Astyanax mexicanus: one gene and its partners. The protein of the gene in region 4 purifies or fractionates together with the protein of the main gene of each other region. This does not show direct contact. Links are inferred from orthologs where the notes say so. Each region holds a gene or a part of one and is shown on either strand. Other genes may lie near its edges.

Evidence for each region.
Region 1: the proteins of ppp1cc (region 4) and pdrg1 purify together in Homo sapiens (affinity purification with mass spectrometry; 6 studies listed by BioGRID and IntAct, counting the BioPlex papers as one, with this or other methods). This does not show direct contact. The link is inferred for Astyanax mexicanus from reciprocal best matches to the Homo sapiens genes PPP1CC and PDRG1.
Region 2: the proteins of ppp1cc (region 4) and ruvbl2 purify together in Homo sapiens (affinity purification with mass spectrometry; 3 studies listed by BioGRID and IntAct, with this or other methods). This does not show direct contact. The link is inferred for Astyanax mexicanus from reciprocal best matches to the Homo sapiens genes PPP1CC and RUVBL2.
Region 3: the proteins of ppp1cc (region 4) and pfdn6 purify together in Homo sapiens (affinity purification with mass spectrometry; 4 studies listed by BioGRID and IntAct, with this or other methods). This does not show direct contact. The link is inferred for Astyanax mexicanus from reciprocal best matches to the Homo sapiens genes PPP1CC and PFDN6.

What each region holds. Positions count from the first base shown.
Region 1 is NC_064431.1:7,233,032-7,240,387, forward strand, and holds the start of pdrg1 (p53 and DNA damage-regulated protein 1), read right to left. Parts: upstream 3,006-7,356; 5' UTR 2,770-3,005; intron 2,139-2,769; 5' UTR 2,070-2,138; coding exon 1,992-2,069; intron 1,205-1,991; exon of another isoform or gene 1,132-1,204; intron 1-1,131. UniProt on the Homo sapiens protein: May play a role in chaperone-mediated protein folding.
Region 2 is NC_064408.1:15,128,964-15,136,728, reverse strand, and holds the start of ruvbl2 (ruvB-like 2), read left to right. Parts: upstream 1-4,740; 5' UTR 4,741-4,858; coding exon 4,859-4,870; intron 4,871-6,398; coding exon 6,399-6,453; intron 6,454-6,615; coding exon 6,616-6,671; intron 6,672-6,790; coding exon 6,791-6,932; intron 6,933-7,202; coding exon 7,203-7,332; intron 7,333-7,765. Other genes in the region: ftr83 (finTRIM family, member 83), read left to right, coding at 2,204-2,730. UniProt on the Homo sapiens protein: Possesses single-stranded DNA-stimulated ATPase and ATP-dependent DNA helicase (5' to 3') activity; hexamerization is thought to be critical for ATP hydrolysis and adjacent subunits in the ring-like structure contribute to the ATPase activity.
Region 3 is NC_064417.1:45,648,098-45,655,477, reverse strand, and holds the start of pfdn6 (prefoldin subunit 6), read left to right. Parts: upstream 1-4,365; 5' UTR 4,366-4,524; coding exon 4,525-4,588; intron 4,589-7,380. UniProt on the Homo sapiens protein: Binds specifically to cytosolic chaperonin (c-CPN) and transfers target proteins to it. Binds to nascent polypeptide chain and promotes folding in an environment in which there are many competing pathways for nonnative proteins.
Region 4 is NC_064408.1:10,500,859-10,508,222, forward strand, and holds the start of ppp1cc (serine/threonine-protein phosphatase PP1-gamma catalytic subunit A), read left to right. Parts: upstream 1-4,357; 5' UTR 4,358-4,591; coding exon 4,592-4,646; intron 4,647-7,364. UniProt on the Homo sapiens protein: Protein phosphatase that associates with over 200 regulatory proteins to form highly specific holoenzymes which dephosphorylate hundreds of biological targets.

The DNA of each region.
Region 1 (7,356 bases), on a different chromosome or scaffold from region 4:
GTTAGGTTAAATGTAACTCACTTCTTTTCAGATTTCTTTTCATACTTGTATTAACTACACGTTTAAAAAAAAAAAAAACACTAAACCACAACTTATAATACCAAATGTGGGAATGATTTATGTTGCTGCAACTGACTTTGTCTGAAATAAAGAGTTTTCCCTTGAACAGGGTTTTATTAGGTACAGCTGCTAGAGTTCCAGTGATTTGAGGACATTTTCTTTTACATAAGAGGAAACAATAATAAAGAACAATACCATAATAGTTTGCCTTAATTATTACTTTAAGTAACAGTGGGATATTCTTGATTGATGATCAACTGTTGGGGATATTTGCTCCCTTCACAGAAACACAGTGAGCTTGAGGAAATTCTTTAAAAAGAAGCAGAAAGTATGTGAACATTTCTTTACAGGACAAGACAGTTTTTTTTTCCAGTGGAAATGTTAGTGCAGTTAGCTGGCTAGCCAATATTATGAGATCTATCAGCTATCTTAATGTTGGCTATCATTTCATCCAAATTCAATTAAGACATAAAATGTATTTTTTATTTTAGGCAGTACTGTACTGTAATGCCAAGAATGAGGCCAAGTTCACTCTGACAATATTGACTGACTTTGTTGTTTTCTGAAATTGCAGTGATCCAGAATACATAAAAGTTGTCAGCAGAGGGAAGCATGAAGTGCTGTAAGATTTTGTGGGAAAACACTGCACTGACTTTAGACTTGATAATAAAACACAGTGGATCAACACCAGCAGATGACATGTCTCTCCAAGCCATCACTGATTGGTGGAAACTTCACACTAGACCTCGAGCAGTTTGGACTGTGTGTCTTTCCACTCTTCCTCCAGACTCTGGTCTCTTAATTTACAAATAAAATGTAAAATGTACTGATGATCAGTGATGGTTTGGAGAGACATGTCATCTGCTGGTGTTGATCCACTGTGTTTTTTGTTGCGACGCATCAGAGCGAGAGTCTATAAAAGGGGGACAGAGTCCACTGCAAATCACTTATCGTTTATCAGGACTATACTAATGAGCGATAGTGAAGGAGAGCAGGGACCAAGCTTATTTTCTGTATATTTAGGAGAGGAAGATCAGCTCTTTTCTACAACTTTGTGGTAAAGGCATTTCCGGTCCCATGGTGTAATGGTTAATCACTCTGGACTTTGACTCCAGCGATCCGAGTTCGAATCTCGGTGGGACCTAATTATACTTTTTAGGCCACACATTAGGAAGACTTATGTGCACAGTAACTATAAGCTATTATTAATTTAATTAATAATAGCTTATAGTTACTGTGCACATTTGTAGTTTTACTTTATTTTAAAGTAGGCTCTAGGCTCTGTTTTTTTTGCTGTGGTTCAGAGGTGATGTGCTTAGTTTTAGCAGCTTTTATATTGTAATAATCAATTGTATACACAGCTGTTAAACAGGAGATTACAGCTCATTCAGAGCAGAGCTGAGCCTGTTGTAGTTCAGCTAACTATCCCTGTAGCCTAGCTAAGCTAACCTACACATATAGGTGCATTTCGTAAAATTAGAATATCATTGAAAAATTACTTTGAGTAATTCAGTTCAACATATAAAACTCATGTATTATATATACAGTATATGTATGTATATATATATATTACACACAGAGTGATCTATTTTAAAAGTTTAGTTCTTTTATTGTTGACGTTATGATTATAGACTATAATCATAACGTCAACAATAAAAGAACTAAACTTTTAAAATAGATCACTCTGTGTGTAATATATATATATATATATACATACATATACTGTATATATAATACATGAGTTTTATATGTTGAACTGAATTACTCAAATAAAGTAATTTTTCAATGATATTCTAATTTTACGAAATGCACCTATATGTGTTGGTTAGCTTAGCTAGGCTACAGGGATAGTTAGCTGAACTACAACAGGCTCAGCTCCGCTCTGAATGAGCTGTAATCTGATGTTTAACAGCTGTTATTAATCTAGTTACCTGCTGTTTATCAGCGAGCACGTCTTCAGCTGCCACTTCTACCTCCATCAGATACTCCATCACCCTGCTGGAGTCCATCTCCCTCCTACAGCAGCAGCAGCACAGCTCCTCACACAGCGAGTAATTATACAAAATAAGTCCCCCAGTCTGGGGAAACAAGGACCGCGCGATAATCAGTTCCGCCCAGTTTCAAAATTAAAAATCAGTAACTACTGACACACAATCATGCCTAAAATACTTTTTACACCCTGAATTACCTTTTCATATTAATAGTTGAACTTTAATGCACACAGACACACAGAGATTGGTACTATCAGAGCCGGTTTATGAAAAGCCTGCCCACTCCCTATCGGTCCCATTATATCAAATTATAATTATAATTAATTATAATTATATAATTATAATTATAATTATATTTATAAATTATAAATTATAACATTATAACTGCACACTAGAGAGAGCCCGCGAGCGAGACCTAAATGAATAGGAGTGAATGGAGCTAAACGGCTAAATACACTAATTAAAAACTTTAGTAACTAAGATTTTTATATCTACTAAGCAAGGATCATCCTTTAATTTTGAAACAAAAATAATGAATTCCCATACGGAGGAAGAAATACAGAAATAAATAAGTGAATAAATAAATGAGAAAACGATTTATAAATATATGTAACAGACGTTAAAAATACACATATAGAAATATATTAAAAACAATAATACAGAAATTATTTGAAAGAGGAAAATATACATTCTCATCACAGTTTACATGGTTAGTTACCTTTCTTTTAGAAAAATCTCCGTATATCCAGATTAGTTTTAACGACAGCTGCTCCGACTAGCTGCCTGAACTCACAGCGAGGGGAGGGGCGGGGCTTCCCCCACACTAAACAGCTCTCCGCAAAACCAGCAAGCTGATTGGCTGTTTCTCCTGAAAGGCGGGACTTTCTCCTTGAACCGGCACCACGATTGGTTAAGAGACACACAGCGGTCAGTGCATTGTCGCCTGTGGCCTATATATTTTTTTATTTAGTATAATACGGGAAATTTACGGGAAAATACTAATACGGGAGGAGAGGAGTAAAATACGGTAGTTTCCCGGCCAAAACGGGAGACTTGACAGGTATGACTTATACATTTCCATTTTTCTACAGAAAACAGTTTTTTATTTATTTACTGATATTTTACCACAACAGGGTAAATTAATATAAGAAATAATACAATTATCAAAATTACTATGATTATTTGTTAAACTTAAACGGCGCCCGCTTTGACCGGTGTTGGTCGGTCCGAGCTAATGTTGGCAAGGCCATGAACTCACAAGTTGACGTAGACAGCTTTTCCTGATCGACTCATTTTTCTGAGGATTTTCTTTTACTAGCTACTGCGGACAATGGAGGCTGAGAAACAGTTTTATATGAGACATACAACTCAGAGAGCAATAGGAAAAAGTGGATTTTAGCGGAAGGAGACCTTTATTTCTAGATTAAAAACATTGTATTCTAATGTTTCTCTCTCTGGATGACAGGCTTTTAATCATTATAGTTTTTGTGTCCTTTTTCCTAACATTTTTATAATTGTAACAAGTAACGATGCAGCACATAGAAAATGTATAACAGTAAAAATATAAAACTCATACAAAATATGTATTGAAGTAAAAGTGGAAGTAGGAGAAAAAAATAATACTCTACAGGTACAGCATTTTAATACTTAAGTACAGTAGTGGAGTAAAAAGAATACTCCAGTAGATACAGATCCAGTATTTTAGTAGAGAAGTAAAAATAATACTTCATTAGATACGGCATTTTAGTATCTAAGTACAGTAGTGAAGTACTTCTCTGGTTTTAAGGTACACAAAAATTCAAAGTGTCACTCGGGCCTCCAAATTCCCCAGCTCTCAAAGCAATCCACTGTGGGATGTGCTGAAACAAAACGTTTGATCCGCAGAGGCTCCACCTTGCAACTTACAGGACTTAAAGGCTCTGCTGCTACCGTCTTGGTGCCAAATACCTCAGACAACTTTCAGAGGTCTTGTAGAGTCCAGAGCTGGTTAGAGTTGTTTTTCAGTGATATGTGGAAGACCTACAGAAGTTCACTGGTGTATTCTTTAAATCCACAGAACAAATATCAAACCTTCCAAATATTAGTCACACTATCAGGCCTCACGTCGAGTAATAACACAATATAAAACATTTTTTCTTCCCGAGTTCTGTTATATTTCAACTGCTTACATATAAACTCAATAAAAAACACCAACATTCCTCATGAACTTTGATTTTATGACAGTAGCCTATGCTAGTTTTATATTTATTGGGATAAAATACAAGAATTGGACTTGTGCTTTATCATAGAAACAATCAACATTTCACTACAAAAATACACAATTATTATAAAACTTGATCAATGCTGCGTATAATAGCTCAAAAATGAATATATGTTCTATATGCAGACTGTACTGCAGATCACTTTCTCGGCCCGTTCTTTCTGTAATAATGTGCACTACTATGCAATGCAACAGTATGCCTTGCAAGATAACAATAAACATTCAGAAGTGTGTTGTCTTCACAGATTTATGACTAAACTGCAAATTACTTTCACGTATTAGTCCATAAACTACCCTCCATCATGTTCTCCTTATACTGTCCTTAGTAACGGCATTCAGAGAAAAAGAAAATGTCCATAAAACACTGCAACTACAGATTAAACAGTTGGTAATGTAGTGCTAATTGTAATTTTTTTTACAAGGAAAATACTTAAATTTTTGTGTTTCTTTGGTCGCTTGTGTTGCCATCTTCCTAATGCTTCCTTAAATGTGCCTCTAAAAATTTCATAACTAAATAAATAAGTGGTAGGGCCAAGGGGCGATATAGGACAGGGCCAAAGGCTATATTTCGTGAATATTCTTAATAATAAATACATTTAAAATCTCATTGTGCTGACCACAAAAGCAAGTTTATGGGGAATAATACCTTATTTCTATTCACTTGAGGCACAAACAACAACAACAAACATCTGGGAAGAAAACATATATGCAAAATTGTTACGTAGTGTAATTCACACTGCCTTGCCATGAGCACAATGTCTAGTGTTCAACATCACTCACAAAATAAAACTTTTACAGGTTTGGGAGTTCCCAAGCCATCCCCTGAGGTAACGCTACATGATTAACTTTATGAACATAGTGCTATCCCATGTCTTTTGGCAATTTGTTGTATTTGTATTTTTTTGTTAATTGTACAACAAAGCACAACGTTTTTGAAAAATACACAAAACACCTCAAACAAGCATTTTTTTTACTTAACAAGAAGTCATAGTCAAGAATAACAAACAGCAATAGAAAATGACACACATTTACATTCCTCAGTGTGCTGAAATACAGTGTGCTGTGATGAAGACTAATTTTGTGAGGTACTGTTATCATCTGCTGTAAAACTGGAATGCTTCAGTCCCAATTTCTGATCGTGGCAGTCTTGGGTCAGTCATGTAACAGAGGAAGTTGAATTATTAATATTGCCAAAAATAATCTGTTTCCAAGCTGCACTTCAACTTATTATATCTCCTAGAAAAATACACATTCATCTTAAACATAAGTGAATTACACTAAAACATCAGTATCATTAAATAATAACTGTAACATTAACATAACTAGCAATGATAAAGGAAGAGAAACATGCTCTGGCTGTTTGTTCACAAAACAAAATAACCAAAAAAATACAAGCAACATACAGCAGTGCTTGAAAGTTTGTGAATCCTTTAGAATTTACTATATTTTAAAATAAATATGAGCCAAAACATCACAAGATTTTTACATAAGTCCAATAAGAAGATAAACCGACCCCAGTTAAACAAAGGAGAAAAAAAATCCATGGTCATTTATTTATTTAAAATATATACATATATATACATATTTGTGAGTGGTAAAAGTATGTGAACCTCTAGGATTAGCAGTTAGTTTGAAGGTGAAATTCAAATTAGAATCAGGGTTTTTCAATCAATGGGACGACAATCAGGTGTGAGTGGGCAGAGCCTGTTTTATTCAAAGAACAGGGATCTATCAAAGTCTGCTCTTCACAACACATGTTTTTGGAAGTATATCATGGCATGAATAAAGGAGATTTCTGAGCACCTCAAAAGATAAGTTGTTCATGTCCATCAGGCTGGAAAAGGTGGAGTTTGGACCCTCCTCAGGAGAACACTGAACAACAATAGAGTGCATGTCAGTGTTTCGAGGAGAAAGCCACTGTTCCCCAAAAAGAACATTGCTGCTTATCTGTAGTTTGCTAAAGATCACATGGACAAGCCAAAAGACTATTGGAGCAATATTTTGTGGACGGTTGAAACCAAAAATAGATCTTTTTGGTTTAAATGAAAATCTGTGAAACATGGTGGTGGTAGTAACATGGTTTTAGACAGCTGGCCTTCATTGATGGAACAATGAATTCTGAATTATATTAGAAAATTCTTAAGGGAGATGTCAGGACATCTGTCTATGACCTGAATCTTAGGGTGTACTCACACTAGGCAATCCGAACCGTGCCCGGGCACGGTTACCTCCCAAAGCACGGTTCGTTTGGCTAGTGTGATCGCTCCGAACCGTGCCCGGGCCCGCTTGAAGAGGTGGGCCCGAGCACGGTTCACTTGGACCCGGATCAAGATGACGTCAGTGATGCGATGCTACTGTAAACGGAGGACGTTTTATACACAATTCTGCATATAATATTTTTGAAAAGGGTTCTAAAGAGCACCATAATGGTTAGTGTTACCCATAATAAATTAGGACTACTATCTACAAGTCCTAAACAACAAACACATTTTATTATTACTTGAGTTTTATGTTTCGCTCCTTTGGTCACTATTTATGTATATAGCAAGTACGTCTCTTACCTTACTGATAAACGTGAATTGTAGTCCGCGAGTAAAGCTGCAAATTTCTCCCTGGACGTCTGCTGCTTGTGTAAAAACCTTCTTACACGTGCAGCACAATTAGCAGTAAATCGCTGTGTTGCACAATCAATGAATCTCTGGTTCAGTTGCGTATTTGCACGCCCAAAACGACTCCAGAGAAACAAAAACAACAGTACAATCCTGAACTCCATTGTTTTGCGCGCGCATACTGTTCTTCAAAACAAAAGTCACCTGTTGACGAAAGCGTGCTCGGGCACGGATCGTTTAGCGCAGTGTGAGTGCAGGCCTGCGGGGGAGTGGGGAGGGGGCCGAACCGTGCTCCGGCACGATTCAACCAAAACGGGCCTAGTGTGAGTACACCCTTAAGAGAAGGTGGGTCATACAGCAAGACAACAACCCTTAGCACACAAGTCATTCTTGAACCAAAGATTGGTTCAGGGAGAATAAAGTTAGTGTTTTGGAA
Region 2 (7,765 bases), about 4.6 Mb from region 4:
GTCTTGTAAATTAGGGAGAAAATGGGATATAAATTAGAAAAAAAACATAAGGAATAATCTGTGCACTTTCAAGGCTCTCAGTGCCATGTTTTAAATGTCAGGGCTCTTGGATTTGCACTAATGACGTTTGGAGCAACATTGAGATTGCTAATGGTGTAAAAATGGCAATTTCTTTGCATGGGTAACATTATGTCTCTCTCATATTATTTTAGTATTGAAAGCCTGTTGGGAGCATCTGCTAAAAGCTGTGTATTTCAGAATGCTAGGGGTACTCATTATCATTTTTCAATACAACCCAAGTCCATGTCACACTGGATTTCTCCTTTAAGCCACCAGTATTGCGTGTAGCTCGGCCTATCCCCAAAGATTACACTTATAAACAGACTGAAAAATGATATACTGACATGCCAAAAATTTGGCCTGATAGTGGGTGGCATTGAAGATTCCATAACTTACAGTGTCATGCTTGTGTTGGGAATTTGTAATAGAAGGCATTACCTCCCACAGTGGACAGTTCAGTAGGTGTTAATGATCGTTACCAGCTAGAATATTTTATTCACAATAGATGAAACAAAAGAAGCAACTCTAGCAGGAATCGCATCCATATTCAATACAGCAGACCCCCCACATACACATATACTGCAGGTTTGTTCAGCGTTCTTTAGCTTCTATGACACATGGCAAAAGTCATGGGACATGATACTATTTTCTGTCCTATTACTTTTGGCATGTATTTTTGTGTAAATTTACTCATATCTGACAAATGCAGCAAATTTACCACTATTCATATATTCCATTGTAGCTGCCATAAATGTGCAGTCAGTCTAAAGTGTATATTGCCACTCTCGGCCCTCTAGATCAGAGACGGCCCCGTGGTTCATCTGGCAGCCACCACCACCTAATGTACAACCAGCTTTGAGAGCCGATGAGGTGGGCAGACTCTATACACTTCACCTGCTGTCTGTGGGCTGGGCCTGTACTCATTAACTTTTACTGTATCAGCTCTCTTTCTGTCTGTAATCATCTGAAATCATTTAACAATAATGAAAAAAAAATGATCTCAGGTCACCACTCCTATTTTAAGGGTAGTCTTTACCTTCAGGGTCTGTTATCTCGGGTCTTTCTCGTCTTGAAACACTTGAAAGTGGGGATTTATCGTTGTTTTCTTTTCTCAGTTGTGAAATGCTTAAGTGTGGGTTAACATAGAGGCATCCATGTTTTAACTTAATCCATGTCTATGTGGAGCTTGGTATTAATAATATTTATAAAACTGTTTAGAGACACAGAATCCTTTATAGAGCTATAACTCACTTAATGTTTGTACATAGATCAAGATTCATACATTAATTAACACAATGGTGTATTCAGTCCTGTTATATGGTATGATTATTAATGTCAATGCCTGTAAAATTCTGTATGTAGGTCCAGATAATAATTTCTTACTCTATAACTGGATTCTTTAGATATTTCCCAAAAGTGATTTCCCAAGCAAATCGCTTATACTACTATTTATCAATTTCAACATTAAGTATGTTTCATAGCCTGCAGATATTTAGCCTGCAGATATTTTTGTCAAAACTACAATTTAAAAGTATTTATTGAATATTTAACACTTTAATATACTAGCAGATAAACCAACATAGCGTAATATATTTACCTCAGCAGTGCTATTCAAAGAATAGCGGAGGTATGTAGGGCTGCCACCTCTGCTCAAAAAACCCTAACTCTAGAGAACATACTGCAATACGACTTCAAATAAATGAGTATAATTTATTATTAGTTATTCACATTCCACTCTTTTTGTATGAATATTTTTAGTTGCGTCCCTAATTGCAAGTGATGTTTACATAGTTCATCTAAAATGAGGAAAATATCTGTTTTCCTGTTCTCAACAAAAGAACATAAAATCTTTTGTCTCGAAACACATTTAGTGTCACTGCCACAAAAAAAACTTGTACCGTATCTCTAAAAAGCAGCTTAAAGTCTATATCAGATTTTTAATGAATAAGTGAGTAAAAGATTTTATTCATAATTATTTAAAGCATTTCTATTGGTAAATTTATCATGAAATTCTAATGCAATATAAATCTAAACAGCCTAATTTTATTGAAATTAGCCAATTTGTATTGTAGCCAAATTATACTGAAATCAGCTAAATTCTCCAGCAGTAAATAGCTGTGATTTCTCCTGTTCTGTCCAACAGATGCCAGCCAGCTGACTCTGGACTCTAACACAGCCTACAAACAGCTCTACATATCCCGAGGAAACAGGAAAGCAGCCCTGAAGAGAGACCCTCAGTCCTACAGTGACAGCGCCCAGAGATTTGACTGCCTTCCTCAGGTTCTCTGCAAGGAGGCCCTGTCCGGAGGGGCCCATTACTGGGAGGTGGAGTGGAGCGGGGAGGGAGCCTCCTTTGGCATCACCTACAAAGGAATCAAGAGGACGGGCTACGGAGATTCGGCCCGACTTGGCTACAACCGCAAGTCCTGGAGCCTGTTCTGCTCCGACTCCAGCTATTCGGCTCGCCACAGCAAAGACCAGGTGGAGATTAAAGCTCCCTACTCGTCTCGCATCGGGGTCTTCCTGGACTACGATGGAGGCACTCTCTCCTTCTACAATGTCTCTGAGTCCATGTCACTTATCCACCAGTTCAAGGCCTCCTTCAGTGAGCCGGTCTTTCCTGGCTTCTGGGTGTGGTACGAGTCGGCCATCACTATTTGCCAGTTGTAGAGCTGTTTGTGTGCTAGGGTAGTATAAGAGGATGAAGAATTGCGTAATTATATATTTTTGATCATTATAAAAGAACAGATTTTTTTAATGTCACTAAAAATCCACTTTCTTTTTCTTTTCTTTTTTTTTAAGGAAAATACCTGTGTATGATATTTGTCAAATTACATGTGTGACAATGTACGTGTGTTTCAGAGCCAGTGATTGTATTATTTTTAATATACTATATACTATACAATATTTTTAATATACTATACTATAAATACAGTATAGACAAATGCTCCAAATGTCAGCTTAAATGTAATGTAACTGCATATTAATAATGTTTTATAAACATGAAGAAAGCTAATAATCAGAATGTACACTATTGATTTGTGTGTGTGTGTGTGTCAAGGCACCATTGTTCTGTGTGCACAAATGGAGAAATCAAATAAAGATTTATGAAATGACAAAGTTATTGTATTTGTTTTTATAATAATTATTATATTATGTAGTTACAAATGAAGGAAAGCTTCATTCTTGTTGTAGTCAATCAACAAACTAAACAAACCACCCCAGCAAATAAGTACAAAGTATGTGTGAAAAGTGAGACAAGCTTCAGGGTAGATTAAGTAAATAACAAGAGCGCCATCTACTGGTGCCAGACGCTACATTACAAATGGCACCCTATATCCTATACCAGTGGTCTCCAACCATAATAAAAAATCCTCATCTTTCTGCAGACTTTGCAGCCAATCCTATTTCACTCCATTAGATTTAGCTAATTACCTCCTTCAGAAGTTCCTGAGTTGCTGAATGGGGCATATTAGATTTGACCTTGTTGAAATCTGCAGGAAGAAAGCTGGCCTCTACACTAAAATACTGTGCTTTAAAGGAGCAATCTTTTTGTGTTTTAGTCTCTGGTCCAACCCACCGCCCATTCCCCAATCCTATTTCCACACCCTGGGTTGCCAGGTATTCAACACAACAGCAAACACAGCTGTGTGGAGCCATGGAATTAGCCAGTAAGATAAACTGGTTTAGCAGAAACAGCTTTAGCGAGATGCTACCTAAGCTAAAAAAGTCTCAGCAAGTGATATGACCAGAGACAGAGTACAATGCAAGCAAATACTGGCAATGCATTTGATAGTTGGAGACAGCTTAGAGCCTAGAAGGACTTGTTTTTGTCAGTTCAGTGTCCTCAACTTGACAACCTGTCTGAACAAAACAACAGAATAAAAAAATTAATTGAGATAATTGAACGAATTAAAATATTAGGAAGAAAAACATATTAGAAGAGTAAGTGGTGGGATAAAATGATTAAATTAAGATTTAATTAACAAGAGAATAATATTTAAAAAATAAAAGATAAAATCTACATGAAAAAAATAACAAAATATTGAAATAGCTAATAAAAAAACACTAAAAATGAATGTTAATACAAAAGGATAAAATGTGTATTATATACATATACCTGTAAAAACTTGTCTTGAGGTGCTGAACAATAGTATTGCCTTCAACCAGCAATATAATTAATTAAATATGATATAATTATATAATATATAATATAACTATATAGTATAAAGTATAATTATATTCATAATTCAATATAAATATAATTCACGTAGACGAAGGACTAGAAATATAAAAGAGGTGGTCTCAATGTAAGCATTCTCTTCAAAACCAAATCTCCTTCTCAGGAATTTACTTTATAAATAACCACAATTATAAAAATGTAAATGATGGAACTAAAATAAATAATAATAATAAGTAAAAATATATTAAGAAAATAAATAAAATAAAATAAAATAAAAACGTAAAGGTCAAAAGTAAAAGCAGTAACAAAACAAATAAAAAGATGAAATTAATAAAATAAATAAAATAAAAGGGCTAAAAGGTAAAGCATAACATTAGATAAATAAAAAAAACAATATATAGTGAACTTCTTTCACTTTGGGAGCCACCGGAAAATATGTATAATAGCATGATGTTTTTAAAGTAGGAATGTTATCAACAGTACAGGTGTGTGAGTTCAGAGTTGAGTGGTAAACGAGTGAGGAGGAACTGTAGTGAATCTGTTTGCTAGACGAGCGCATTTCGGCTGCGCACCCATTCAGAAACCGCCGGCCGCGAAAAGAGAGAGAGAGAAAACATGGCAGCGCAGGTGAGAGCGAGATTCTCTGCTTTAAATATAGACTTATTATTCTTCTACTAGCTCTTATTTAATGGCCTAGGTCTATATAGAAACTGTATTAATGTGTGTAAAGCTTTAAATCTGCTGTAGAGAGAGACGGGGCTTTTGTAAATATCTGAGTGCGAGTTAGCGGGTTAGCGTAGCTTCCTGCACATGTGTGTACCTGCCCCTCACTGCGCTTCTGTACTGTATATACAACTAACTAACTATTTAAACACTTAACCTGCGGTCTCTGATCATTTCTGAGTGCCTGCCCCCTAGCTGATCTTAACAACTGGCTCGTCTTATTTAGTTAATTTATATTTAGCTTCAGTTAGTTAGCTTGGTGTTAGCATGCTAGCTGGCTAAGTTAGCTAAAGCTAGCAATTTGACCATCCTACAGATAACTTACATTACAGTAAACAGCTCAGCATATGGTTCACTGACGCTAGCTGACACTTTCTCTGTTAATATTAAACATATTATTGTAGCTACATTATGGTTTATAAAGAGTAATTTAATTTAGTTGTGCTAACCGTATGTAACGTTACTAAGTTAGCTAGCTACTGTTGTGGCTCATGTGTCACTATGGCAACATGAACTGTTGAGGCACGCGCTGCAGTGCTTAATTAACTAACGTTACCTAACTAGTGACTATAAATGTGATTTTGTCTTTTGTTATAGATATACACATGTACATATACACAGCTCTGGAAAAATAAGAGATCACTTAAAAATGATAAGTTTCTTTGATTTTACCAAATTAAAAACCTCTGGAATATAATCAAGAGGAAGATGGATGATCACAAGTCAAGATCACAAGCCATCAAAACAAGCTGAACTACTTAAAATTTTGCACCAGGTGTGGCATAAAGTTATACCAAAGCAGCGTGTAAGACTGGTGGAGGAGAGCGTGCCTAGATACATGAAATCTGTGATAAAAACCCGGTTATTCCACCAAATATTGATTTCTGAACTCTTAAAACTTTATGAATATGAACTTTTTTTGTTTGCATTGTTTGAGGTCTGAAAGCTCTGCATCTTTTTTGTTATTTCAGCTATTTCTCATATTCTGCAAATAAATGCTCTAAATGACAAAATGTTTATTTGGAATTTGGGAGAAATGTTGTCCGTAGTTTATAGAATAAAACAACAATGTTTTTTTAACTCAAACATATACTTATAAATAACAAAATAAGAGAAACTGATTCAGAAGCGGAAGTGGAGTTTTTATTGTACTTTATAGACTTTTTTGTACTTTAGAGTAATCTAAATTAGTCATTAATAATTTAAATTAAATCAGTTAAATTACTTTAATTAATGCGTATGTTGAAAGTATAGAAATGGAAACTATTTCTATCCAGACCTTGGTACATGATGATGGACATCATTTGTAAGTTGAAAATGCTTACAGGTAAAAAGTGTATAAAGACTTTATACAGTTGGTTATTTTTCATGTAAATGATTTATTTCTGTGCTTTGGTGCCTAATGATTTTTTTTTCTTTCTGTTTGTCAAAGATGGCAGCCACGAAAGTGCCCGAGGTGCGAGACATCACCCGGATAGAGAGGATTGGTGAGTGATGATGATGGACATTAGGACACATATGACTAGAACACACATGATGCATGCTAAATATGTAGTCTAGTGTTATGTAGTGTAACCGTTAATTCTCTTGAGCTTAGAACAAATTATTTTTTACTATGGATAAAAATGTTTTGTTGTCTGGGGTTTTAGGTGCACATTCACACATTCGAGGCCTTGGACTAGACGATGCTTTGGAGCCACGGCAGGTGGGTCTGCGTATACTGGTTTTCTTCATGTGTTTTGCACCAGTATGTACAATAATTATGTTTGTGAACTGGATAGTTTGTAATGATTTTTGTGGATTTTTTTGCTCTGTGCTGTTCAGGTTTCTCAGGGGATGGTGGGTCAGCTGGCATCTCGGCGGGCTGCTGGTTTAATCTTGGAGATGATTAAAGATGGGCACATTGCTGGCCGTGCTGTGCTCATCGCTGGCCAGCCTGGGACTGGCAAGACTGCTATTGCTATGGGTATGACTATTTGTATTAAGAACAATTGCCTTATTTTCTGTTTATTAAAAGTGGACAGTTTCCACTGTAATTCCTATTTTATATACAATATGGGTCAGTTTCCCTAGTCCTATACAACATGTTCCTTTCAATGGGAAATCTTCACTTAAGATTCAGTGTAGTCAAAAAACTAGGCTTAAATCCTGTCTAGGTAAACTGCCTTTGATTAATGCTGCTATTACCTGATATTGTGGGACCCATCAATGACAGTCTTTTGTTTTGGTTGGACAGGCATTGCTCAGTCACTTGGATCTGATACGCCTTTTACTGCTTTGGCTGGGAGTGAGATCTTCTCTCTGGAGATGAGCAAGACAGAGGCACTCAGCCAGGCCTTCCGCAAAGCCATCGGAGTCCGAATCAAGTTAGTCTGACTGAGGAAATAATGTAACGTCTTGTCTATATAGTTTGCCTTAGCAGTAAGGAGTAGTAGATTTTAAGAGGTAACATTGTAATTTCTGTATGCCCCATCCAGACCTGCCAACACCAATTTTGCTTAACAGTCTCGCATTTTGACCTCCTAATATGCTAATATGTACAATCCCATGTTCTAAAGTATGCATATCGTTTTGTCTCGCATTTTCCATGTTAGTCTCAAATTTGACTGTTGAGTGTATTAGCGTCCGCTCACAATGTTGCGCTGTTTATCAACGCTGATTTATGTCCAATTAACATGCACACTAATCCTGCAAGCTACCCAACGAGCCATTACATTTTTTCCTCCGAATGAAAAATATCAGCACAGCGATGCCGTGTTGACATTTTTCAGTCTCTCTCTCTCTCTCTCTCTGTCTTTA
Region 3 (7,380 bases), on a different chromosome or scaffold from region 4:
CAGTTGGATTCTGAACATCCTGACAGGCCAACAGCAGGTGGTAAAAATGGGTGGAATCACATCCTCTTTTCTGACACTCAACTCCGGAAACCCTCAAGACTGTGTGCTCAGCACTGTGCTCCTGTACTCCCTGTGTACCCGTGACTGACTGCACAGCCAGACATAGCTTCAGCTATACACCTGTGGGTGGGCCTGATCTCATACTGTGAGAAGGAAACTTACAGAGAGGAGGATGGCCTCCCAACACACTGGTACCAGAAAAACCACCAGGCTGATAAAGGACTGATAAACAAACTAATTCTGGATTAGGGATGCACTGATATGGGAATTCTGGGCCGATATTACACATGTACACACCATCTGCCGCTGCCAATGACAATACGCACATTTATAACTTAAAACAGAGAGAATATAAACCCTGTTATAACTTTAACTATAACAACTTTAAAAGGAATAATTAAAAAAAAAACACTTTTAATTAATTAACTGAATAGCGTGACCCAGAATTCATCCCATCATCCCAAATCATCCATCTCAGCTGGATTTTTACTGGTTAACATTTTTCTGTTTACTACATAATTCCACACATGTGCCTTAATTTTTTTCATGTCTTTAAAATGTATCTAAAATGTTGATAATAAATTAAATGATTAAAAACACTTCATGAAATTGTGACTGGTACAGCAAATATTGTGCATCCCTATTCTTGACCATTTCAATCGGTTCATTCATCATACAATTTAAGAACAAGAACACAGCACCACAGTCAAATAATGACAAAAAAAATATCCTGATGTTATGAAAGTGCCTAAATTTAACATACATGTTTTATGTGCAGTAGTAAATATCCTTTTTTTAAACAAATTTCCCTATTCTTTCTTATACTTCCTTTCTTACTTTATTCTTTTGAATGCCTTGCTATCCCATTGCTTCTATTACAATGTGAATTTCCCTGCTTGGGGACTAATAATGACACCCATATCTTACCCTATTGACAGTAAAAGATTTATTGTTTTAATTGTGAGACCAAACTTCTGCATTCCACTGTGAATGTTGACACATTTTACGTTCTTTTTAGTGTTTTTAAGTGTTACCGTTTTTCTTAATTATTTACACACAAATACTGGTAATTGAGGCACACTGACTACAACATGTAACCCATGTACCAACCCCCTGAACTTTACACTCAAACTGCAGTTCTAAAACAAACTACACACAATTTTCATGAAGAAAAGCTCTTTTTATACAAAGAACGAACTGTTATTCAAAAAACTCTAAAGGTAGTTACCCTACTATGCACCGACTCTTCACATGGGCAAATGCCTTTTATACAGATTTACAATTACAAATACAGCTTTAGCATTAAAGAGAAACAAGTGAGCTCAGCCAAATTTGAGGTACACTGTAGCATCCATCATCTGAGAAATCTACTCTCACTAGAAAATTGCAGTGATGTATATCAAAAGAGTATTAATGAGTGTAGTAGTACAGTATTGCCTGTGTACTGTTCTGCAAAAATAAAGTATGTTTCAATTATTTAGGAAATGTATTCATACTTTTTGTTCTTACACATTATTTACAGTAGTTTACTATCTGTACAGTTTATTTTCATGTCTGGATTCATCATGCTAGGGCATATTTCCCCACTGCGTATCCAGGGAAAACTGTGCTTGTGATGTGGATGAGGTGCTGTGGGCTGACTGAAACAGATGCAGCATATTTTTTTTTTTTTTTTTTTACTTTAACTGTATACAGTAAATTCTTCTGTTGTTTTGTATGTAGACCACTGTACATGCAACTGTGTGTTGGTTGGGATGTAGACTGTCTATAATAAAATATTATATATACATTTTTACTGTGTATTTGTGTTTTCTGAGTATAAAAGTAATATTATAAAATATTATACAACACAAATATGTATGTACTGTCTGTAGTAGGAATAACATTAAACATAAAAAGGACTAAGTCATTATGATAAATGGAGAAGAAGTGTTTTCCATTCATCATGTTTTACACTGAGCACATCAGTGTTTAACTGGTTCTTATAAATATCTGTTCATATGACAGTTTATGTGTGTTATCTGAAAACAAAACACCTTTTTGACAAGAGATAAAAATATTTGCCTATCGTGTGCGTTTTTTTTTTTTTTATTTGTGTAGAGTTTTGAGAATATGAGGCAGGCTTTCAAAAAATGTGTATTAACAATCTGGAAAAACTGTGAGTGTAATGGCTTTTTTCTGAGGGAGAGATACAAGCTAGGAGTGCTAATATAAAGCTACAGTATGTATAACTGGACTAGACTAACTGCTAAAATATCCAGCCTGAGAGCTTTAGTTTAAAAGGACAAAGGCAGTTGCTGTTATCCTAGTTAACTGGTCTTTACAGTGTGTGTTTTGGGGTGATAAAGGGTGTTATGTGTAGTTCAGGCCTGTTTTGAGGAAAAATAGGGTGTTTTATGTGATATGGGATGTGTTTTTTTATGTGTAGCTTAGGTTTATTATGAGGTGATATAGGGTATTTTATGTATATTTAATTGTCAAGGTGGTTGTGGACTGACTTACAATTTGCTTTACTGTTTTCTCAGCACAAATGTAAACCACTATTAACAGATACGCTGCTTGTACACCAATGACAACATATACACATATATAAACACACAAGAACACGTGGTAGGCAGTGTTAACTACTACTGAGTGTGAATTAAAGCACAATAATAACACTGCTGTGCAATAAACAACACTGACCAGTACAGCATCCACCAAACCCCCTCTGTCTCCCTGCAGCCAGGCCTCTCCTCAGTGTAGTAATATTAATAATATTACAGTAGAAAAGCGGGAAAAAGCAGTAAAAGCAGGAGGTTACCTGTCAGAGCGACTCCTCTCTTCACAAACACCCAAAGACCTTCAGACTCTTCCCTCAGTGCCTCCTTATTCAAACCATGTGAGCTGCCATACTGCCGCCCGCTGACACGCTGAGAGAGAGGGGAGAGCGGGGAGAGCGCGCCGCCTACAGAGCAGGAGGAGCAACACTGCTTACACTTACAGCAAACACAATACATTTACTTCTCAAGTAAAAAACACAAGTGTTTTTTTTATTATTATTTTGTAATAAATTTATAATAGTATAATAAAAACAACTGGACATTTTTGAAAAGCAAAAAAGTTCTTCATTAATAAAAAATCTTATAATTGAAGTGCATATAAAATGATTAAAAAGACCAAATAGATAAAAAAAAAAAAAATTGAGGTAATATAGTGTGCTTTATGTGTATTCTGTGTGTATTTTGGGTGATATTGGGTGTTTTGTGGGATATGGGATGTTTTTTATGTGTAGCTTAGGTGTAATTTAGAGGTGATATATATTGTATGTGTATTTAAATGTGCTGTATGTGATATGGGGTGTTTTTATGTGATATGTATTGTGATATGTATTGTGATATGTATTGTGATATGTATTTATGTGATATGTATATGTGCGTTTTTATGTATGTTTTGAGGTTATATATGGTATTTTATGTAAAATGGGGTGTTTTATGTATATTTTAGGAGGGGGGTTGAGGAGATAGGGGGTGTTTTATGTATATTTTAGTTGTGTTTTGAGGAGATATGGGGTGTTTTATGTTATATAGGGTGTTTTATGTGTAGCTTAGGTGTATTTTAAGGTGACAGAGGCAATTGTATGTGTATTTTATAAGTGTATATGTTTAATTGATATAGAGTGTTTTATTTGTTTTATGTATGTTTTGAGGTTATATAGGGTATTTTATGTCAAATGGGGAGTTTTGTGTATATTTTAGGTGTGATTTAAGGAGATATGGGGTGTTTTATGTATATTTTAGGTGTGTTTTGAGGAGATATGGGGTGTTTTGTGTGATATAGGGTGTTTTATGTGTAGTTTAGGTATATTTTAAGGTGATACAGGCTATTGTATGCATATTTTATAAGTGTATATGTTTAAGGTGATATAGGATGTTTTATTTGATATGGGGTGTTTTATGAGATATGTGGTGTTTTATGTGAATTTTAGATATGTATATTTTTGAGGTGATATAGGGTGTTTTATTTAATATGGGGCTGTTTAATGTGATATGTGGTGTTTTATGTGTATGTTAGATATGTATATGTTTGAGGTGACAAGGGTGTTTTATTTGATATGGGGTGTTTTATTTGATATGTGGTGTTTTATGTGTATTTAGATATGTAAATGTTTAGGTGATATAGGGTGTTTTATGTGATGTGGGGTGTTTTATATGTAATTATGTGTGTTTTGAGGTTATATGTGGTGTTTTATGTGTAATTAGGTGTGTTTTAAGGTTATATGGGGGTATTTTAAATAGAGGGGGTGTACTGCCAGTAAAGTACAGCAGGGGGAGATCTGACTCTGCTACGGTGCTGGTCGCAGAATGAGTGCGTCACTCTGACTGCGCTGAGGGCTGGTGTGCATGGTTGAGGGTGCAGAGGGATTAATCCGGTTTATTTACTGTTGAATTAAACACTTTTTAACTGTTTATAGCGCGCGGCAGCATGGCAGAAGCAATACAGAAGAAACTGCAGGCTGAACTGGAGAAATACCAGCAGGTCCAGAAAGGTACGGCTGTGTGTGTGTGTGTGGATCGATTTCGCCTGTGTGAGAGAAACACACCCTGTATGGTAAAACCGATTCAGCCTAAAATAACCCAGTAATACAGGTCTAATTCTGTTTTACTAATAAAAACTCTCATCAAATCATTAATCAGATATAGAACTTTTAGTGTAGTAATAATATCAGATTTACTGATCTCTGAAATCATTCGGACTAGTCATATTACCAGCAACACAGAACGTGCATGTAATATTACCGCGGTCACGCCATCTGCACTTAGAAAACGCTCGGTCGCGCTATCCACACCGAAAACTGGAGTGCGCGTCTAAACCGTGTTTTACTGTAGCAGCGTGCACAGCGCACCCGGAGGAGCGGAGACTGGCGCTTCTCGTGCAGAGACTTAAAATGGAACAGAAACGAGTTTTACACCTAAATAAACATGATTTAACGAGGTCTAATCCACAAATATACACCAGAAAGACCACTTCTTATCTGTAGAACAGTGTAACGTTTTGAAAAGGTTTGGAGTGTTATTAAATAAGCAAATCAAATTGTTATAAAATCACAGCCCTAAATTCTTAAAGATCTTATTCTCATGTATCCCAGATATATGTTTGAAGTGATATTACTGTATCATTTTTGAGTAATTGAATACCAAAACTATCTATTCGGTTTTGTATAAAAGGGATTTTGGAGTGCTATAAAACCAAAAAAATCTAATTCTTCTTAAATCAGAACATGAAATCCTTAAATAATACCTTCCATACTATTAATGTCATGCATGTATACTGATTGTACAGTATCATTTTGGAGTAAATGAATACCAAACTTAGGAAAAATGTATATTCGGTTGTGCATAAACCAGATTTCGGTGTCCTATAAAACCTTCAAATCAAATTGTTATCCAATGAAACCAAGAAAGTCTTGAAGAAAACATTCCATTCTATTAATGACATGAGTAACAAGTGATATTACTGTATCATTTTGGATTAATTGGATACCAAACTTGGAAAAATGTCTATTCGGTTGTGCATAAACCACATTTCAGAGTCCTATAAAACCAGCAAATCAAATTGTTATCCAATGGCACTAACAAAGTCTTGGAAAACACATTCTATACTATTAATAACATATATATCAAGTGATTTTACTGTACCATTTTGGAGTAATTAAATATCAAACATACAAAAATGTTAATTTACTTTTGCATAAATCAGATTTCAGAGTCCTATAAAACAAGCAAATCAAATTGTTATCCAATGCCACTAAGACATTCTTGAAGAACACATTCCATACTATTAATGACATGAGTAACAAAGGATATTACTGTATCATTTTGGAGTAATTGAATACGAAGCTTAGGAAAAATGTCTATTTGGTTGCGCAAAAACCTGATTTTGGAGTCCTGTAAAACCAGCAAATTAAATTGTTATCAAATGCTACCGAGACTGTCTTGAAGAACACATTCCATTCTATTATTAACATGAGTAATAAGTGATATTACTGTATAATTTTGGATTAATTGGATACCAAACTTAGAAAAAATGTCTATTCAGTTGTGTATAAACCAGATTTTAAGGTCGCATAAAACCAGCAAATCAAATTGTTATCCAATGCCACCTAGACAGTCTTGAAAAACACATTCCATACTATTAATGACATGAGTAACAAGTGATTTTACTGTACCATTTTGGAGTAATTAAATATCAAACATACGAAAAATGTTGATTCACTTTTGCATAAACCACATTTCAGAGTCCTATAAAACCAGCAAATTAAATTGTTATCCAATGCCACTAATAAAGTCTTGAAAAACACATTCTATACTATTAATAACATAAGTATCAAGTGATTTTACTTTACCATTTTGGAGTAATTAATTATCAAACATACGAAAAATGTTGATTCACTTCTGTATAAACCAGATTTCAAAGTCCTACAAACCATTGAATCAAATTGTTATCCAATGCCACTGATAAAGTCTTGAAAAGCACATTCTATACTATGAATGACTTGAGTAACAAGTGATATTACTGTATCATTTTGGAGTAATTGGATACCAAACTTAGGAAAAATGTTTATTCGATTGTGCAAAAACCTGATTTCAGAGTCCTATAAAACCAGCAAATCAAATTGTTATCCAATGGCACTGACAAAGTCTTGAAGAACACATTCTATACTATTATTGACATGAGTATCAAGTGATTTTACTGTATCATTTTGAAATAATTGGATACCAAACTTGGAAAAATGTCTATTTGGTTGTGCATAAACCAGATTTCGGAGTCCCATAAAACCAGTAAATCAAATTGTTATCTAATGGCACTAACAAAGTCTTGAAGAACACAGGCTATACTATTATTGACATGAGTATCAAGTGATTTTACTGTATCATTTTGGAGTAATTGGATACCAAACTTGGAAAAAATGTCTATTCGGTTGTGCATAAACCACATTTCAGAGTCCTATAAAACCAGCAAATCAAATTGTTATCCAATGACACTAACAAAGTCTTGAAGAACACATTCTATACTATTATTGACATGAGTATCAAGTGATTTTACTGTATCATTTTGAAATAATTGGATACCAAACTTAGAAAAAATGTCTATTCAGTTGTGTATAAACCAGATTTTAAGGTCGCATAAAACCAGCAAATCAAATTGTTATCCAATGCCACCGAGACAGTCTTGAAAAACACATTCTATACTATTAATAACATAAGTATCAAGTGATTTTACTTTACCATTTTGGAGTAATTAATTATCAAACATACGAAAAATGTTGATTCACTTCTG
Region 4 (7,364 bases):
CCGGAATATTGATTACACCTGTGTACACCCATATATATATATCTTCACTATACACACACCCTACTAAATATTGTAAGTTTAACACATACACATACAACTTGTTTATCCCATTGCCTGTGTTACCCTCTTGTGTAAAATTTTGTTTTGTTTTGTTTTTTTAATTCGGCTTCTGCGTACCATTTGATACCTTCTGCTCGTGTATGACCTCATGTAGAACTGAATCTTTTTTATGGTATGTTTGCTCTCTGTTGCTGTTGTATACTGGTGTTGTCCCTTAACATTTTGACTATCCCCTGTACCACTACTTTCATTAATAAACCATCTTATTTGTATCCTGTAAAGCCATCACGGACAGTAAAATGTCTTATCAAACATGAAACCTTTTTATTTAATGCTTGAACAGAAATCCTCCAGATTCAGGCATGTAATATAAGGCAGAAAATTGTCAAAAATGCTGGCCTGTTAAGGGGTTAACCAGCTTAACCACCTTCAGCTGGTCATGCTGTTTATTTTTCAGCTGGGTACAGGGCAATTCTGGTGTCACACCACCCATTTTTAGGTGTTTAAATCCTATTTATGGTAACATCTCAGACTTGGAGGCAGGATGTAAATGCAAGGAGGTTTTAATAGATGCCATAAAGCAAAATAGCAAAGAATAAAACAAAGCTGAGACTAGAAAAGTAACTAAAAAATATCTAGACTAAGATCATACTTTCAATAACTGAAGAAAAACCACTAGCAAAAACATAATAAAAAAAAACACTTTCAACACCTTCAGACCTGAATTATGTTTCAGTGACAGAATATTATATGAATGCTGTTTTCTGTCTGTAATGTATGCACAGAAAGACAACAAAACAACAAAAACATTAAATTCATTTTAACGTCCATTGTATTGGATTGCCTGTTAACATTTTTATTTTATTTATGATAATGACTTTGATAATAACCTCCTGTAAACAGTGAAATAAACGTAATAAAAAGTTCTATCACATAAAATTAGGAAAAAAGACCCTAGTGGTGGGCGGGAATATTCTACTGTTTCATTAGCTTGCAAACTTCTTATTGACTGGTTCATGATCTGTTCTGATGGACAACAGGTCTCAATTAGTGTAATGTGCAGCAAAACATCAAACAAAAATAAATGATGTCCATTGCAATGGACACAGGATCTGAAACAATGTTTTAACTAATGCAGTGTATAACCAGTAGGTGGCACAAGATCTACATCTATTCATTTTCCCATAAGCAGCTGTGTGGAACTCACCTGAGATCCTTCTCACTAGAGTTAACCACTGAAAAATAGGCTCGAGCTGGATAAACTTACTGACCAGTTCTGCTCTTTATTTACATAAAGTAAGCATAAACAAGCAAGCTGATCAGCATGACCAGCAAGACTCATCAGGTCAACCATCACAACCAGCTTGACCAACATCACTATTCTGGTCAACCAGCATGACTGAAATGCAGCAGTACACACTATACTGGTCAAGATTTGGTTCCCCAGTTTTTGATTGGATGGCCAACATTTCAATCAAACTCAACTCAACAACTCAACCATCAAAGGTTAGCTTAGACTTCAAAAATACAGCCTTCAGCAAAAGCATGAATTGTAAATAAATTGTAAATGTAAAAACGTGTTTTTATTAATCATCTTTCAAATCCAAATGCTATAAAGAAATAAACACAGAAATTAAACCTCTGCTTTTGAGTTGGTTTTGTTTTCTGTTCTTTTCTAATAAACACGGACACTTGCAGATACTCACAGACGTTTATTTGATAAGGGGATAGGCTTACAAGAGTAGTGAGGGGCAGGCAGGGTCAGTAACAGAATGGCACGAATGTAAACAACATACCAGAGAAAATTATCAGGCAATCTAGGGTCATCCATGAAAAATCCTGCAAACAAAAAGAAGAAGGCAAAAGGGAGTCAAATATACAAAAATAAGGTCGGTAGCAAGGTAATGAATAGAATGGGCAATGGTAATATAAAACAGGTTGGTAAAAAAAAAAAGGAAAAAGCCATGGGATGTGTCATAGGAGAGCTAGAAAAAATAGATTACTAAATACTCAGCAAAGAGCGAGCCAAACTAAGGGGTATATATACAGGGAAGAGCAGGTGAAAACAATCAATAGCTTGGAGAGCAGGAACACTGTAGCATCACGTGATCAGTAGTGTGAGAGAAGTCCAGTGTTGGGTGTATGCTAGGAAATGAAGGTTTTAGGGACAAGTTCAGAGCCTGGAGCAGACAAGCCAGATGGAGAAAAACTAGTTTAAGTGATTGGAAAACTTGCATTCCTCATTGGAGTGAAGAATTCAGGGTGCTTTCAATGTTTGAACAGGCAGTAAACATCACTTTGAACTGCTAATTGCTGGTTAACCGCCCGACCCTTTTACATCTGAAAAACAGCACAAAAACATATTATTATTATGTCTCCTCTCTACAGATTAAATGTCTTTTATTATTGTTTTTGTCTACATGATAGCCTTTACAGTTATCTGCATTTCTGCATGAATGTGATTAGAACCTTCTAAAAGAAGGTAAAGTAAACCAAATAAAACAAATGCTGCAATAATATTAATGCTTTTACATTTATTTATGAAATAAAATTGTTGAAAATTAAATATCTTTGTTTGAAAAAGTATATGAACCATTGCTTTCAGTAACTTGTGTGACTTGAGGCTTGGGGATTGGAAAACATTTTGTATTTCTCCCAATTTAACCAATTATTAAGCTGCATTTACACTGTACTGCCATGTCAATGCATATAAATGCACTGCCCCGCTCCAACTGGTTGCATGTGGGCGTTACAATGACATTTCGTGGGTTGTACATTTAAATCAATTTAATAATTGTTGGTTAATGGTTTAATACAAGCTTTATTTCCTATTTCCTATTATTTTCCTGATCAGAGTCCCTGTAAATCAGCAGGGATTGATCATAAAAGACTGGAAAGCCCGAAAACGCAATTTCTATCGTTTCCTCCATGCATTTGAAACCGTTTAAAACCATTGTGTTCGATAGATCCATTTGCATAAACTTCACCTCGCAGTGGAACAGTGTAAATGCATTACACAGCATTAAAAGATCCAATCATGTATTTGGGGTCATCGTCCTGCTGCATGACCCACTTCACACGAATCCATACAGATCCATTGACCATTTCTAAAGTTGTAATTTCAAAAGTTAGATTTTGACTGACTCTTTTGACTGTCTGTCTGCCCGTGCCTGTATACGTCAGTGTTGATGCTGATTAAGGACATTATTCAGAGACTCCATGTAATGATATTCAGCTACTTTCAGGTGTCCCCCTCACTGCTGACACAGGCTTGTTCAGTTTTGTACCCGCAGAAAGAGGAAAACATTGGCAACAGAATGGGATGCTCTGCACATGCTCTGCAAGGTCACAGTGTGCCTAGAACAAAACACTAAATAAACTGCTCCACAGAGCTGACGGATGTTTTAGTTGTAGCTTTAATCTTTAAATATAGTTCACCTATGCTGTTTCACTAAACTGACTACATTTAAATTGTTTACACACATTTTTATAGCTCTATGAAGTAAATAAAATATGATTTTAGGTGTGTATTTATTAGGATAAGATTGGGTGACACTATTTGTGGACACCCCTTAAACCCCAGCTTAAGGTGTATCAATTGCTGACACTGGATGTTTACACCAGGAGTGGCATAAAGTTATCCAAAAGCAGTGTGTAAGACTGGTGGAAGAGAACATGCTGAGATGCATAAAAACTGTGATTAAAAAACTGAGTTATTCCACCAAATATTGAATTCTGAAACTCTTAGAACTTTATAAATATGAACTTGTTTTATTTGCTTTATTTGAGGTCTGAAAGCTCTGCATCTTTTTTTTTTGTCTCAGCCATTTCTCATTTTCTGCAAATAAATGCTCTAAATGACAGTATTATTTTATTTGGGACTTGTGAGAAATGTTGTCCGTAGTTCATAAAATAAAACAACAGTGTTTATTTTACTCAAACGTATACCTATAAATAGCTAAATCAAAGAAACTGATTCAAAAACTGAAGTGGTCACATAAAGTGTCATTTGATTGTCTTAATATTAATTTACAATGTAGCAAATAAATGAAATAAATACAGAAAAACACCTAATGAGAAGGTGTGTCCAATTTTTTGACTGGTTCTGTATAGCTACTGTATTATATAAGTTATATTAATACATTAATAATTTGTAAACTGTGCACTATTTTGTGTGTAGATCCGGTGCTGTAGTAAGGCTGACATACAGGACAGTGCACTGCGAAAGACACTGCTGCCTCCTCTGTCTTGACCAGTGTATTCTTCCGCCACGCCGGCGCCTGACATACGTATTCCTCCGCCCCCGCCCGGCGGTCGACTCGCAGGCGCAGCAGCGCACGGAGGCTGAAGCCGCTCAGGAACTTCTTAAGCTAGCTGAGATAAATGAGCCTGAAACACGTTATTTAGCGTATATTTCAGCCTATAAAATATATAAAACAGGTTTAATGAGGCTTTAGCCGCACATTAGGTGGTAGAACGGTAGATAGGACTATAAGAAAGGTGTATATTTGTGTAGTTTAGCTGGCGAGGTATGGCCGACATCGACAAGCTCAACATAGACAGCATCATTCAGCGCCTTCTGGAAGGTAAGCTGGCTAACTAAACTCAGATTTTAAAGGTTTTAAAAGCTTAATATGTTGAACAACAAGCTAGAACATATCTCACAAGACTGTATATATTTTTAAATAGGATTATTTGTGTGTTAAATTCTAGCTTAAATAAGGGTAGGGGGTCTGTAGCCAGCAGGGTCTAAGCTAAGCTAGGTTAGCTAGCTGGTGGTTAACCTAGCTGACTGTTAGCTTTTGCTGTCAAGCAGGAACATGTTAATAATAAATATCGATGAAAATTCACCCCTTAATTCAGTGTTTATTAGTCCTTTTATAAGTTTTAGTTGTGTCTAATTTGATTACTATTATTTTAAAGACACGATATAAGGAAATAAACAGAATTATTGCCTGTTAACGCAATTTTTAGCTTTGAAACGTAGGAAAATTGACGTATTGTAGGCTAGCTAAATGTCTATAGACGTAGTTTTATTGTCTGAATGCAGTTAACGTTATATATTGTCAAGCTAGTTTTTGTGTTTAATGTTTTAGGGTTTTTCGGGGTTTACAGTTAAAATCTAACTAAGCAATTTATTTTATAAAAGCAACAATATAAAGTAACATAGTAATGCAATTTATGAACTAGAAATATTTGGAATTTGCTATTTTAAGATATTTCTTTCGCTGATATAGATAAGTGACTATTCAGTAGTAATACAAGAAAAACTTTTTATTTAAAATAGCAAGAATAACAGAGTAAGGTCTATTTTGTGGAAGATATATTGTTCCAGAAAGTATTGCAATAAACGATATTATTGTCATTTTAAGACCATTAAATTACTTAAATAATAAGAACAGAATAGGATAACAAAGCATTTAAACACTTTCAAAGACAATACAATTTTAATAAACACATGACTGACTTAAATCATATTAACCAGCTAATTTGAGTGTTTTAAGTGTTTTAAAATTTAAATGTAACTAAACAATTTATTTAAAAAAGCAAAAATATAAAATAATATGACTATACAGTAGAATATCAGTAGTGTGGTTTAATTAATATTAGTACATTATTTTAAAAACTAAATATGAGGAAATGCTCAAAAAAAACAGTAATAAAAAAAAATAATCTGAATAAACTGGGTTTTTTTTTGTATAGGAAATATAACAAATGAACAGGCCTGTTATTATAAAAACAAATTGAGGATGACATAATTGTCCCAGAAATTATTGCGATAGATTACATTTATTGTCAATGCCACGTAAATAATGCGAATAGGACATCATCATAACAAAGCAATTAAACACTTTAAGACAACACAATTTAGTAGTCTAATAGTTAATAGTTAATCTAATAGTTAATCATGATTATAATACTAAAATACTGTTCACTGTTATGTATGTGAACAAACATACAAATAAACACAAATGTTTAATCATGTCCATTTATTGTTATTTTAAAAACAAGATATGAGGAAACGCACAAAATGAAAATATGTATTTTTTTATATAAAATAGCAAAAATAACAGAGTAAAATAAGCCTGTTGTGATCATTTTTTTTGTAGACGATGTATCGACCCAGAAACTATTGCGATAAACAATATTATTGCTATTTTAAGATCATTAAATGCCATAACACTGGCATAATAAGAATAGGATAGCATAACAAAGCATTTAAACACTTTCAAAGACAACACAATTTTATTTAATAATAACTAAAATACTAAAACTCTTGACTGTTGTATACGTGAACAAATATACAAATAAACACAAAAGATGATTATCACAAAAATTAAATGTGTAATATCGTTTTTTTTTTTGGTGCTATTATATTCACAAGGCGATTTGCTTGTTTTTAGGTTGTGGGTTAGTACTGGGCTAGATATTGTTATTTGTGGGATTTTTTGCAGGTCGTGTTGTAGACCAAGTTGCAGAATATACTGCAATTTAAAACTGTATAATTGTATTATTTCTTATGTTCTATTATCTGACAGTTGGCAAAACACTTTACTGACACTTGTACTATGTATGTGACCAATGAACTTTTATTTTTTGTTAAAGAAAACCTACATATAAAATAGCTATAAACAGAATAGGTGATTAGTAAAAATATTGGGTCAGTTAAATAATATAAATACTTAACTAAAAATAAATATCAGTTGGAGGCTGAATGGAGGATGAATATATTAATTTGGCTGTGTTTGTAACCCAATATGATTCTCTGTTTGTCTAATTAAATGTTTGCATATAACATATAGTTGTTGTTAAAACTTATGCTAAAAAAGTACTAAAATACTGAGGCTGACTTAAGTCAAATAACATTTTGCTTTTTGCAGAAAAAAAATTCTATAAATTGACAAAATTATTCTATTTAGCAGCTAATAAATGAACAAAATCATAAAAAGCAGCCTGGGCATCAGTGAATTGTTTATTTTGTTTTCAGGTTAAGCTGATGGAAGTGGAGAATTATTCAGTGAATACTTTATGCTTGTCTTTTTGGGTGGCACTGCAGGGGGTAGCCGACCCACTTTTCTACATGAGATTTGTCCTGTTTAAAAGCTCGGAGCATCTCTCACATCAGAGCTAGCGATGCTGAGGACTGACCAGCAGCTCCAGCAGATTCACTGCTTCGGCTGTACTTTTGGTTCCTGTGTGTCCTGCAGAGCTGGTGGACTATTCCTGGTTTTGGTTTCAGAAAAACGAAAGATGAACCTTCCAGTTTCCTGGAAGAAAATTTACAAGGGGACTGACCACAGCAG